Linked DNA regions of Xenopus tropicalis. The protein of the gene in region 1 interacts with the protein of each later gene in a pairwise test. Links are inferred from orthologs where the notes say so. Each region holds a gene or a part of one and is shown on either strand. Other genes may lie near its edges.

Region 1 (6,289 bases):
GATTGATGGTTAGTAAGTTTTTGGTAGTTGCCATGGAGATTTTGGGGAGAAATCTAGGTTTGTATCTGGTTTTTTCTTGATTTCTGACCAAAGCGCTAACTTCTGCAAGGGACTGCGGCCACAATTTTCCATGTAGAAAGAGGAGAGTGGCGTCTCTGAATAGCTGAAGGTGTGCACTTTTCAGAAATATATAGTTTGCGGGGGTTATTTCACAGGTAGGGGGGGTTAACACTGAAAAACTGCAGGTAGTGCACATAGAGCGCAGCCCCCAAAATTTCAACTGAAATTGCCCTTATGCATTGCCCCTGTTTTGGGGCATTTGGTGGCCACGTCTTTATGTGCACCCATACATATGGGGTATCGTTTTATTCAGGGGAACTTGCAGATTGATGGTTAGTAAGTTTTTGGTAGTTGCCATGGAGATTTTGGGGAGAAATCTAGGTTTGTATCTAGTTTTTCCTTGATTTCTGACCAAAGCGCTGACTTCTGCAAGGGACTGCGGCCACAATTTTCCATGTAGAAAGAGAAGAGTGGTGTCTCTGAATAGCTGAAGGTGTGCACTTTTCGTAAATATATAGATTGTGGGGGTTATCTCACAGGTAGGGGGGGTTAACACTGAAAAACTGCAGGTAGTGCACATAGAGCGCAGCCCCCAAAATTTCAACTGAAATTGCCCTTATGCATTGCCCCTGTTTTGGGGCATTTGGTGGCCACGTCTTTATGTGCACCCATACATATGGGGTATCGTTTTATTCAGGGGAACTTGCAGATTGATGGTTAGTAAGTTTTTGGTAGTTGCCATGGAGATTTTGGGGAGAAATCTAGGTTTTTTATCTGGTTTTTCCTTGATTTCTGACCAAAGCGCTGACTTCTGCAAGGGACTGCGGCCACAATTTTCCATGTAGAAAGAAAAGAGTGGTGTCTCTGAATAGCTGAAGGTGTGCACTTTTCAGAAATATATAGTTTGTGGGGGTTATTTCACAGGTAGGGGGGGTTAACACTGAAAAACTGCAGGAAGTGCACATAGAGCGCAGCCCCCACATTTTTAGCTGTAATTGCCCTTGTGCATTGCCCCTGCTTTGGAGTGTTTGGTGCCCATGTCTTTATGTGCACCCATACATATGGGGCATCATTTTATTCAGGAGAAGTTTGTCTTTCAAATATGCCTTTGTTAGAAAATTTTTATGATATTTTTTTTTGTCAAATCCACATTTGATCATGCGTCCAAGTTTACGTTTTAGAAAAAAAAAAAAAATGTCATAAAAAGTTCCAAATTTCACAATGCACTGACAAAAGGTATTTGGCTTTTGAGTGAAAACTACATTGCACCTAGAAACCTGAAGGTCTGTAGTTTCTAAAGATACCAAACATGAGGGGATATTTTAGATTTACATATAAGTTATGCTGCATTAACTGTTACAAGCGCTTTTCTGCTTTGTTCTGGTGTGATATTGTACTAAGTATTGCCTTAGTTTGGGGGTTACTTCTGGACAGGAACTGTGGGGTACCACCACATATTTGGTATCGTTGGACTTGGGAGTATCAGGGCTTTTACAAACAATAAAAAAAAGTGAGTAAAATTAACTTTTCTATGGAAAAAAACCTCAAAATATACAGAAATTTTTCATAATTTTATTTTTTTTTTACATATTTCACCCAAAATACACATCATATCTCCAGAAAAGTTATAAAATTTGGTATGTATGTCGAAGCCCAATTAGTGACGAAAAAAACGATATATAATTTCCCTAGTTTCGTGGAGGTTTTCCTACCAAAAAACATTGTTAAAGTGAATGAGTACAAAATGCTTAAAAAACGTCTGGCACTGGGGGGAACCGAAATGACGAATTCGGCTGGCACTTAAAGGGTTAAAGGAGAAGGAAAGGGTATCATCACTGGGTATTTCAAAGGGTATTTATCACAGGGTGGGGACAATTTGTTAGGCACCAACAGTGATTATAACCACCTAAACCTTGGGCTGGTGCTTCTCTTCCCTGAACATCTTCATGTCTCTAACTGGGATCCATTGCAGCTGGCCCGGGCTGTGTACATGCATTAGAAGCAGTTGTTATTCTGTTCCAGCAGGAGGGCCACTGTCCATACCCTCTCCCACATCACTGCTGCTAAAACTATTGCATGAAAGGCACCCTATAGAATGAACAAGGTGCAGTCCCAAGCAGACCTCAGTGTGAGAAATACTGAAGGGGGAATTTGGCTCTAAAGTTCATCTGCCACTCTTTACATCACACGGGGTTTACATTCAGTTGCATCAGAGGCATTTGGTCAACTGCTGTTTTCTGCTGGATGGCAGTGACACAAACACACACTATGCAATTACTAAGGGTGAAGGGAGTTGTGGCTACCTGACAGCAGGAGGGCACAGTATCTAAATGGCTACTGCTTTAATGAAAAGGGCATGCGCCTTACGAGGGTGTTTAAGTGCTGGAAATAAGAAATAATAGGTGTTAATAGAACAGAATTCCGGGAAAAACTACAGCTTCTCAGCCATAAACAAACACAACAACACGACACAACCAGAGCCTAATCAGGCTGGGAACAGTAAGACATGGGGCGGGACCTAGGCTGCCATTGCACAGAGTTGCTTGTCACTCACAGATATGACTACTTCCTGTGTGAGAATGCAAGGCTGTATCCAGCCCTCGTTTTCAGCTCAGACACGGAGGAGAGATGATATCTCTGTAGCTCTAAGTACATTTTTAAGAGGTAATATGTGATCTAATCCCTTTTCCATTTCTGGGGCTTTATATAAAGGAAGGAAGCACATCATACAAGAAGCTGGGGATGACATCAAATCTCTGTGCAGCCCTCTTTGACTAGTGTTGCTGACATATTCCTGTCAATTCTAGGAATGTGTCAGAGTCACTGTAAAAATAAATATTAATCTATGAATAAATCAAGTTAAAATAGCATTTAACCCCTTACACTTCAGTTGATTAGGGTGGCTGGTGTCTCATATAGCACTGACAGTTCATGCACACTACAGCCTTAAAAATGCTGAGGGGCTTAGGAAGAACCAGCTTTCCCCCTGATTTCACTACTGCATTTAGGTCGCCAGTGCACAGAAGCCTGTGGGAGGCATCCCTAATTATTTGTAGTGATATGATATGTCAATTTCCATTATGCAATTTAATTATTTGTAGTGATATGATATGTCAATTTCCATTATGCATTCTAATTATTTGTAGTGATATGATATGTCAATTTCCATTATGCAATCAGAATCAGGTGTTTGGATCAGTGCTGCAATATACTATAATCAACCCACATGGTTCAACATAGTGTAAACAGTCCCACTGGATTCTCCCAGAAAATAGCCCATATAGAAGAAACTTATTAACTGTATCCTAGGCTGCTTTTATGTGTGACAGTAGTACAAAATGTATTTTTTGTTATGTGTCTGTAGGACGTATTAAAGAGTCTGCCTCTTAGATGAAATGAAAATGAGCCCTTTTGTTTTTAATGTTCTACTAATGTTTAATTTTTTTTTGCAGGTTTATCAACTGCAAGGTTTTGAAATGGCTTCAGAAAGAATAGATTCCCCTGAGCTTCCTGATTTTACAATATTAAAAAGACTGGCTCGAGATCAGCTAATCTATATTTTGGAGCAGGTCAGTGTGAGGCGTGCAGTAACCCTGTAGTTTGTGCCTGCTACTCTGTGTTAAAAAAAAAAAAAAATCATTATATATGAGGATATTAGTCACCCACAATAAATCTCCTCTACCATGGTCGACTTATCTTCAAAAAAATGTCTTCCAACTGGCAATAATGTAAATCACCAGTGGAAAAACATATGCATCACTTTAGCTTCAGAAGTTGCCACACGAGGCGACATGGGAAAGCAAAGCGACGCACGTGTTTCCCATCAGTGGGAAGGCACTCCAAGGAGTGTTAATGAATTAATTTATTACAATTTAATTTAATGAATTCATTTATTACAATTTTGAAAGCTATATTTTTAATTGTTGCCCTTTATAGCTAACATTTATAAAGCCAACTTCTCTGAATCTAGTTTTTTTTAAGTCTTTCTGAAATTTCTTAATTACAGTATGTTGTAATAATGTTCTATATTTTGTTGCTTCCAGCTACCTGGAAAAAAAGACTTGTTTATTGAACCAGATTTGATGAGCCCATTAGATCGCATTGCCAATGTCTCAATATTAAAGGTATAACCCATTTTCTGTGTTATGTGTGTCTTTAATGACTGGCAATTTAATTCTTTATAACAGGTATAGCATATGTACAGTAGTTTTGTGTATAGCCAAATGCTCCAGTGGATACAAGCTAATTTAAGGATTATTATTATCATTTACAATTATATCTTTTAATTCAAAGATACTTACAGTTTGTTGTGTCATTGTAAAGTTATGTTCCTTAATCTTAATTTAGCAACATGAGGTGGACAAACTGTATAAACTGGAGGACAAGCCCATTTATAGCAACTGTGACCAGTAAGTCTTCTAGATTACTACAAAAAAATTGTTGAATTTCAGGAATGGAAGTGCAGTACTGCAGCATTTTTTACCACATTAATGGTTATAGCTAAGTATATTCTAGTAAAAATACATTTTTAGTTTAGCAACTGTGTCTATTAACTTTCTATACAGTGATGCTTGAAAATGTGTGATTTGGGGGACCACAAAACTTTCCCATTCCTGGCCAATTCCTGGCCATTCCTGGCCAATAAAAAATGTTCTTTTGGAGCAGAGGAACATTGCATGGAAGTGGTAAAACATTTAAGGGGCTCTGCAAAAAAAAAAAAGAAACTAGCTCAAGTTCATTCAGGAAAGACGAGCACTTTCCTGGTGTCTCAGTTGTTGGTTAGAAACACTTGACACCCCTAGTGATTTTAGCTTCCATTCTCCTTTAAAACTGTCTGAATGTGACATATTTTTCATTTAGATAGTTATTTGGACAAATATTTGATGTATAGATCATTCCTAAAATTGGTTAACCAGCAATTACTAAGCAACATGACCAGAAAATACTTTATTAATGCTTGTCTTATTTACCTCCCTAGATTGTGTTTTTTGATCAGACCACGCATCAAGCATGTGAAATTTATTGCTAGTAAGTACTGAGATACCGAGGTAAAAAGGTAACGCACAAAACTGCTTTTAGAGATTCAGTACATTTTCTCTTCTCGGGCCTGTAACTGTATCGAAAAATACATTTACAGTTGCAGTATATGATATTATATATACTGCATTCATCTAAATGGTCTTAACATTTTTTATGCAGATCTTGTACGTTCAGATAAAGCTTCTGCAAGAAACCGGAAATACAAAATTATATTTAGTCCTCAAAAGGTGAGTCCAAAAATAATAGGAAACCTTCATTCTTAACTGTTCAAAAAGTCAGAAATCACTTTGGTGCATCTTTGTGACCACCAGTGTCACTCAGTGGCTGGGAAAACAGGGGTGGTAAGACAATGGTAATTTTATTAAAATGTAAGTTTAGAGCTTAATACATAAAAACTCACCCACATTCTATTAATTCCTATGGGATTTTTAGAAGCCTATTTATCAAATGGTGAGTTCTAGATTTCACCCATTGATAAATACACTTCCCATATACATGAATAGAATGTGGTTGAGTTTATCTGTATTAAGCTCTAAACTCACATTTTGATAAATCTGCCCCTTAATCTTTAGACCTGTGCCAACTGCTGTTTATACAAAGAAGCCTGCAAAGTCTGTACTTCTTGTCAAGACTCCCTCTAAGGGCCGTGGCAGACGGGGAGATTAGTCGCCCACGACAAATCTCCCTTGTCGCGGGCAACTAATCTCCCGGATATGCCATCCCACCCGCTTAAATGTAAATCGCCAGTGGGATGGCAAACGCGGCGCCGGTTTCCTCTGAAGGCAACTTCGGTGATTGCGGCGCCGCATATGCCATCCCACCGGCGATTTGTAAATCGCCGGTGGGATGGAATCTTGGGGAGATTAGTCGCCGGCGACAAGGGAGATTTGTCATGGGCGACTAATCTCCCCGTGTGTCACAGCCCTAAGACTCTTGAGCATTTGGTGCATATATATATGTGTGTGTGTATGTGTGTATATATATATATATATATAACTTCCAAGTAAATGCCGGCACTCACGTATAGATAAGTTGCTGTTGCCTGGGTGCAGGTCCAAATAATGTATATATACAGTGGTGTGAAAAACTATTTGCCCCCTTCCTGATTTCTTATTCTTTTGCATGTTTGTCACACTTAAATGTTTCTGCTCATCAAAAACCGTTAACTATTAGTCAAAGATAACATAAT
Region 2 (6,296 bases), on another chromosome or scaffold:
AAAAGCAATAACACGTTGTCCAACAGTTAAAGATGATTGAAAAAAAAAATGTAATATGGAGTCATATTATTTGTATAATCCGCTGCAAAATATTGCTATTTGAATGTCCTGCCAAGAAAGCAATATTTACTCACTCTAAATTATCTAGGTTTTTTTAATATCTAAAGTATCTGTGGGGAATCATTTTTGAAAAGGTTTTCAGATCTCATTTTTTTTTTTGCAGGGGCAAAGCATCATTCATAACAGTTTAATGTACTATTCAGATTCTGGGATCTCTAGACGCCACATTATTTAGACAATGATATGCATTTAAACACAAAAAAATCAGTAGACCCCCAAAATTCAGAATGTTCTATATGCTACTCACCTGTCCAGTTCAGCTTGATATCCCACTCATAGAAGAAAATGAGCTTTCCCTTTCGGTTGTTGATAGATGCTTCCCCCTCCAGCTTGCTTACTTCTGTTATTTCACATGTCCCTTCCTCACTTTCCACTCTTATGTCCATCATTAGTTCTTTAATTTTCTCTGAGGACCAGCTAGTGGCATCTCTTTCAGTCCTTGGCAAAAAAAACAAACAAAAAAGACAGACATCTTAATTGAGAATTTAGGAGTATTGTTTTAAAGACAAACTTGGCAACTAAACTATATCAATTAATTGTTATTTGAGTTTTAAAGTTATTTTCCCAAATGTGCATTAAAGGTGTCGTTCAATTTTGTATTAACTTTTAGTATGATGTAAATAGTGATATTCTGAAACAATCTACAATTGGTTCTCTTTTATTATTTGTGGTTTTTCAGTTATTTAGCTTTTTGGTCAGCAGCTCTCCAGTTTGGAATTTCAGCAGCTATTTGGATGCCAGAGTCTTGTTTACCTTAGCAACTGGAATGGCTTGAATGAGAGACTGGAAATTGAATAGCAGAGTGCCTTAATAGAAAGATAAGGAATAAAAACGTAACACAAATAATAATTTTAGTTCACAAAGCAACTGATTTTTAGCTGATGGTGCCAGTGACCCCCATTTGAAAGCTAGAAAGATGTAGAAGAGGAAGGTAAATATTTTGATAACTATAAAAAAATAATGAAGACCTATTCAAAGTTGCTAGGAATAGGATATTCTATAATGTATTAAAAGGTGAACCACTCCATTAACTGTATGTTGTTTCTGGATATGCAGAAATTTAAACTGTCAGCATCAGAACACATGATCAACACATGCTTTGAAGCCAATTGTTATAGGTACCGAAAATAATTATCTCCAACCTTCCCAGTTTGGGCACCAGCTGCCAGCACTGCATTACCAACACTTAGGTCATTTGTCTTTTCATGATCTATTTTTTGCACTGCTTGACACAGCCCGCATCAACAGCAAGCCAGATATAGTTACTGACAGAATGAATATGCCAAAGAACTTGCACAGGCCCATAAACGTTGGAATAGGTGTATTTAGCTTTGGCTGTACATTTTTTGCCAAGTCTTAAAAACAAAGCAAAGCAAAAAGCAGAGAAACAAAAAAAAAATTTGATCTTAAAAACTTGGATTTAACTATCTACTAGAAATTCTGAAAACTTGCAGGTTAAAGCTTTTCAGTGAATTTCAGTCAAATCATTTCTATGCTGGCACTGGCAAAACTGCACCGACCATAACTAAGATTTAAGCCTTTGCAAGTGATCTCTCTTACATGCCTGCATGTAACTGATTTAAACTAAGGAGATATGGAATATCTCAGACACACAGCAACAATGAACATAACTCATGTACCAAGATAACAACTGGGTGGAGGCAAAGCTTCTTATAAATCTAAAAAGACTAACACTTGGCAACATGATCTTACCTCCATAAAAAAAGCCAAATTGAGTCAGTATTAATTAAAAAATATCATTAAAATAGACATAACATATTTTACCAGCAACATTTTATAAGGTTGCATCTCCATTTCCAAACACTCTCTTGCTGCTGATATGTTGATTAAAATATAAAAAATTATATATATATATATATATATATATATATCCCAGTCTACAAGTTGGACGTGCTTCTTGGTAACATATGCACTTTAGGATTCCTAACCACGCTTGAATAATTCTGTCATTTTTTAGGAGGCATCATTAAACAAAGATGAACTTACCAGTGCCAATTGTTAACGTTGGTGGCATCTGCTCTCATCTCAACGATCCACCGCGGATCCCCCTCTCCCCACTTCGCCATGGCTAAACAAGTGAAGATCTAAATGCAAGAAACTATTCTGGTACCTTCAGCGCCGCTGCGAGAAAGGCCTCAATCAGCGTGTCTTTGCCGTCTGCACCACTGCCTGTCACCGCTCTGCTATATTGTGCTTTGCTCCTTTCCCTGCCACTAGCCTCTCTCTATGGTTTACACTTCAGATCCAGCTATCCCCAGACCAGAACCTCTTAGGAGCTGCGATACATTCTCTCCCGCCCCACGCCGTGCTCACTTTGCTCTCCTCCCCAGGTTCCTCATATATGTACCAGCCTCAGTAGAAATTACTAGAAACGCCTGGAAAGCCGGCTCAAAGTTTTTCCGGTGTCTGAAACAAAAGTCCCCGCCTTTTCCGCTCTTGCAAAGTGCAGGTTATGCTAGTTAGCCATCTTTACTGAGGGAACGCCTACTCGCACAACACGTATTACAAATACACGTTGATGGCTATAGATCGTTTCTGAAAGTGTCTCAGTAGATATCAAGTTCTGCCCACGATGATAATGGCTGTCTGGCCCCTCTATCCGCGCCATTTTGAGTGAGGCATGATTTAGCCTGTATACTGCATTGTATCGGTCTGCATTCTAAATGGGCAGCACGAATTAGTCTGTGACAGCACTTGGCGTTGAATCAGGTGACCCTTGCGTTACAGTGACTAGAATCACTCCTCCTGTCAAAAGGGCTTTAAGCGCTGTTTAAAATTGAGGCAAGCGTGATGGGCAACCAAAGAACCTTAGGGGATACTGAAAGTTGGGGCAATTGTAATGGCTGTCGTGAAGGGTTGTAGTTCTGCTGCAACTGGGAGTTTATCGTAATAAAAGAAAGCCGTTTTAAGGCCCGTTCGGTATGCAGGGATGTCGGCGCCCCATTTGTCCTACACTATAAAAAAAGACAACATATTGCAATTGAGTTTGGTGAATTAAGTATTTGTGAGATTTTGCAGCACCGATGCAATCACCGCCTGCTTTGCCAGCAAATGAATGATATGCTGTGGTTTTTTTTTTTTCTAGAAAACTGTTCATTCCAAAATATGTGCCGGTACTGACTGTACCTAATCATTGGCTGGGAAAATACTCGTAAATCCAGAATCCGTGAATTACTCTGCCAAGCAAATTGCCCAGAGCCCAAATTAAGCCGGAAGTGCAAGGCGCTAGCGCTGATGGGAATTGTAGTTTAACATCTAGTCAGTCTTCTCTGGAGATAGATTGGTTGTCTCGAGTAAAAAATACATATCCCAGCATTCTCCCGGCAGAGACGGGTTGTGTCGGCTGAAGAGGTAAGGCTGTAGATGGGTAGGGGCGATTTTGGGCAGAGGGACGCTTGCGATTCTGTAGGACCAGGTTATAGTTGGCCTGCGTCCCGTTTACACGTATCCTAGTATTTTCCACTGCTTCTTCCGTGCACAGCTTCTTAATTGCCATTGCCTTATAATCGTATAGAATGTCAACAATTGCTGGATTAAATGAAGAGGCAACGTTTATATGTCTGTTATCTTTTATTTATATAACTTTATATCACAGTGCCATAAGAGATTGTTCATTCTGCCCCAGTGGAGAATTTGTTGCCTATCACCTATCATCCTATAGAGTGCGTTTTACAGATAGATAATAGCCTGTATGTTTTGGAGTGTAGAAATCCGTGCAGATACCCAAATGCTGCAAGGCAACAAAGATAACCACTGGATAAACATTTGTTTTAAAATGTTGTTCAAAAAATGTGCAGCTGAAGAGAGATTCACCTCAGAATCATCCCTCTGCTGATCCTTCACTTCTGCACAGACCCTGTGTTGGAGGGGAGGGGGTCAGTGACCCCTATAAACACCACAGTTGCTTTTTTACTTCCTCTAATGATGTCATGCATTGTACTAGCAGCAGATTTAACTCCTATTGGCTGTGACTCCTGTGTCAGAGTGCTGCAATTCTAACAGTAACAGTAAGTTAGATTTATAATATGCTGAGTCTGTTTGGCTATGCCGTTGACTTTTCAATTTATGCAACTGGTTGCACAAGCAACCGATGAATTGATCCAGTGGGAAAAAAAGTAAAGGCAAAACCTAGACGTTATGATTTAAGCATATAGGAAGTTCTCAGTGTGTTAGGTTCAAAATAGGCCACTCCCATCCCTTCAAAGAAATTGTCACAGACACAGAAAAATGACTGATTTAAAGAAGAAGGAAAGGCTAGTAAAGAGTTAATCTCAAAATACAGGCATACCTTCTGTTGTCTCAATAGTGCCCTTAAAGGAACAGTAACATCAAAAAATTAAAGTGTTTTAAAGTAATTAAAATATAATGTGCTGTTGCTCTGCAAAAAACTGGTGTTTTTGCTACAGTAAAGCTACTATATAAATAAGCTGCTGTGTAGCCATGGGGGCAGCCATTCAAGCTGGAAAAAAAGGAGAAAAGGCACAGGTTACATAGCAGATACCTAGTAGATAAGCCCCATATAATGGGGGTTTATCTGTTATCTGCTAAGTAACCTGTGCCTTTTCTCCTTTGAATGGCTGCCCCCATGGCTACACAGCAGCTTACTTATATAAACTATAGTAGTCTTTCTGAGGCAAACACACCAGTTGTAGCAATGCAGGGCAACAGTACATTATTTTGTTATTACTTGTATACACTTTATTTTTTTGGTGTTACTGTTCCTTTAAGTCTCCCCATATTTCTCCCGTTCAGAAGATCTGAAGCCAAACAGGAAGAAAACACCCTGAGCTGGGTAGAGAAGATTCCCATAATGCCTCACTCCTGCACTGACCATGGGATCAGGACTGTAGGCGGCGCATGCGCACCAGCAGGAGCGCTCCCCCCAGCGCCATGGCGACCGCCGCCCTTATAAACAGTCTAAGCAGTGGAAGAACAAGACAAGACAGCTGGCAGGCAGGTGCTGGTGGGGAGAGAGGCAAGCAGGGAGCGTGGGATGATTACAAGAGGACAAGAGGTGCTGGTGGGGGGAGAGGCAAGCGGGGAGCACTGGATGCCGACTAGAGAACACAGCGGGGGGGGGGTTTTGCCGACAAAAGGAGCGGAGCGGGGGGGGGGTGCTGACAAAAGGAGCGGAGTGGGGGGGGTGCTGACAAAAGGACCGGAACGGGTGGTGTGTGACACGAGTTGGGGGTGCTGACGATTTGAATTCACATGAGTGGATAATAAGGATGCAGCTGCATCCTTCCAGAAGGAAGCGGGGGGCCGCAGGGAGGATGTTGGGGGCGCATGCGCAGTAGAGACAGTGAGGGAAAGGGAGTGGGCATCACTTGTTAAAGAGGGCGGCTCCGTTCACTGAAGCAAGTATGTAGAATGTAGCAGGTGTATCTCTGTAAATCTTTCATTAGGCAAGCCAGAAATATAGCGTTTTTACATAGCAATAGTAGTACTATTTAATAGTGTGCTTAATAGATTTTGACTTTCCTTGTCCTTTAACAGGTATAAAAAGTAGCTTTTACTGTAGTGTCTGTATTTGTCCTGCAGGGGAAGCACAGTCCCTTCTTTCTATAAATTGTTTTCTTCTGCTTTGCTTTGTCCTAATTTTGATTGTGATCATATTTTCCTTTGTAGATGTCCAGAACTAAAGGAGATGAGGAAGATTACTGGCATAGCTCCAAGTTCAAAGCTTTCGCTTTTGATGATGATGATGATGATGAACTTTCTCAGGTAAACTGTCCATTCCTAAATATTTTAAATACCATCCCATGCCTATTAAAGGAAAGTAACACTAAAATTTCTTAAGAAAAAGCTATTCTACCCTGCACCAATAATTGCCCTATCCTGCAAACCACTTAGTATTTTAAATGCTTTAATAGAAAATACCTGCTAAAACTTTGCTTCCTGTCAATTGAACTACGGCGATACGGTGAAGGAAGGAACTGCATCCACTATGCGACGATCGATTGATCGAGCCTAGCCTGAATCCTTCCTATACAGAAAGAAGGCTAGGCTCGAACAATCGATCGTCGCATAGTGGATGCTGCTCCTTCCTTTACCGTATCGCCGTAGTTCAATTGACAGGAAGCCAAGTTTAAGCAGGTATTTTCTATTAAAGCATGTAAAATACTAAGTGGTTTGCAGGATAGGGCAGTTATTGG

The links. The genes of interacting proteins can lie anywhere in the genome.
Region 2: the proteins of vps33b (region 1) and vipas39 interact in binary tests that used the Homo sapiens proteins (3 or more experiments, as listed by UniProt). The link is inferred for Xenopus tropicalis from reciprocal best matches to the Homo sapiens genes VPS33B and VIPAS39.

Annotation. Positions count from the first base shown.
Region 1 is NC_030679.2:108,178,875-108,185,163, reverse strand, and holds the start of vps33b (vacuolar protein sorting-associated protein 33B), read left to right. Parts: upstream 1-2,637; 5' UTR 2,638-2,724; intron 2,725-3,512; 5' UTR 3,513-3,536; coding exon 3,537-3,629; intron 3,630-4,103; coding exon 4,104-4,184; intron 4,185-4,407; coding exon 4,408-4,469; intron 4,470-5,038; coding exon 5,039-5,088; intron 5,089-5,259; coding exon 5,260-5,327; intron 5,328-6,289. UniProt on the Homo sapiens protein: May play a role in vesicle-mediated protein trafficking to lysosomal compartments and in membrane docking/fusion reactions of late endosomes/lysosomes.
Region 2 is NC_030684.2:82,867,579-82,873,874, forward strand, and holds the start of vipas39 (spermatogenesis-defective protein 39 homolog), read left to right. Parts: upstream 1-2,812; 5' UTR 2,813-2,850; intron 2,851-2,878; exon of another isoform or gene 2,879-2,922; intron 2,923-2,957; exon of another isoform or gene 2,958-3,060; intron 3,061-3,226; exon of another isoform or gene 3,227-3,492; intron 3,493-5,769; coding exon 5,770-5,865; intron 5,866-6,296. Other genes in the region: ahsa1 (activator of 90 kDa heat shock protein ATPase homolog 1), read right to left, coding at 368-558, 2,128-2,207.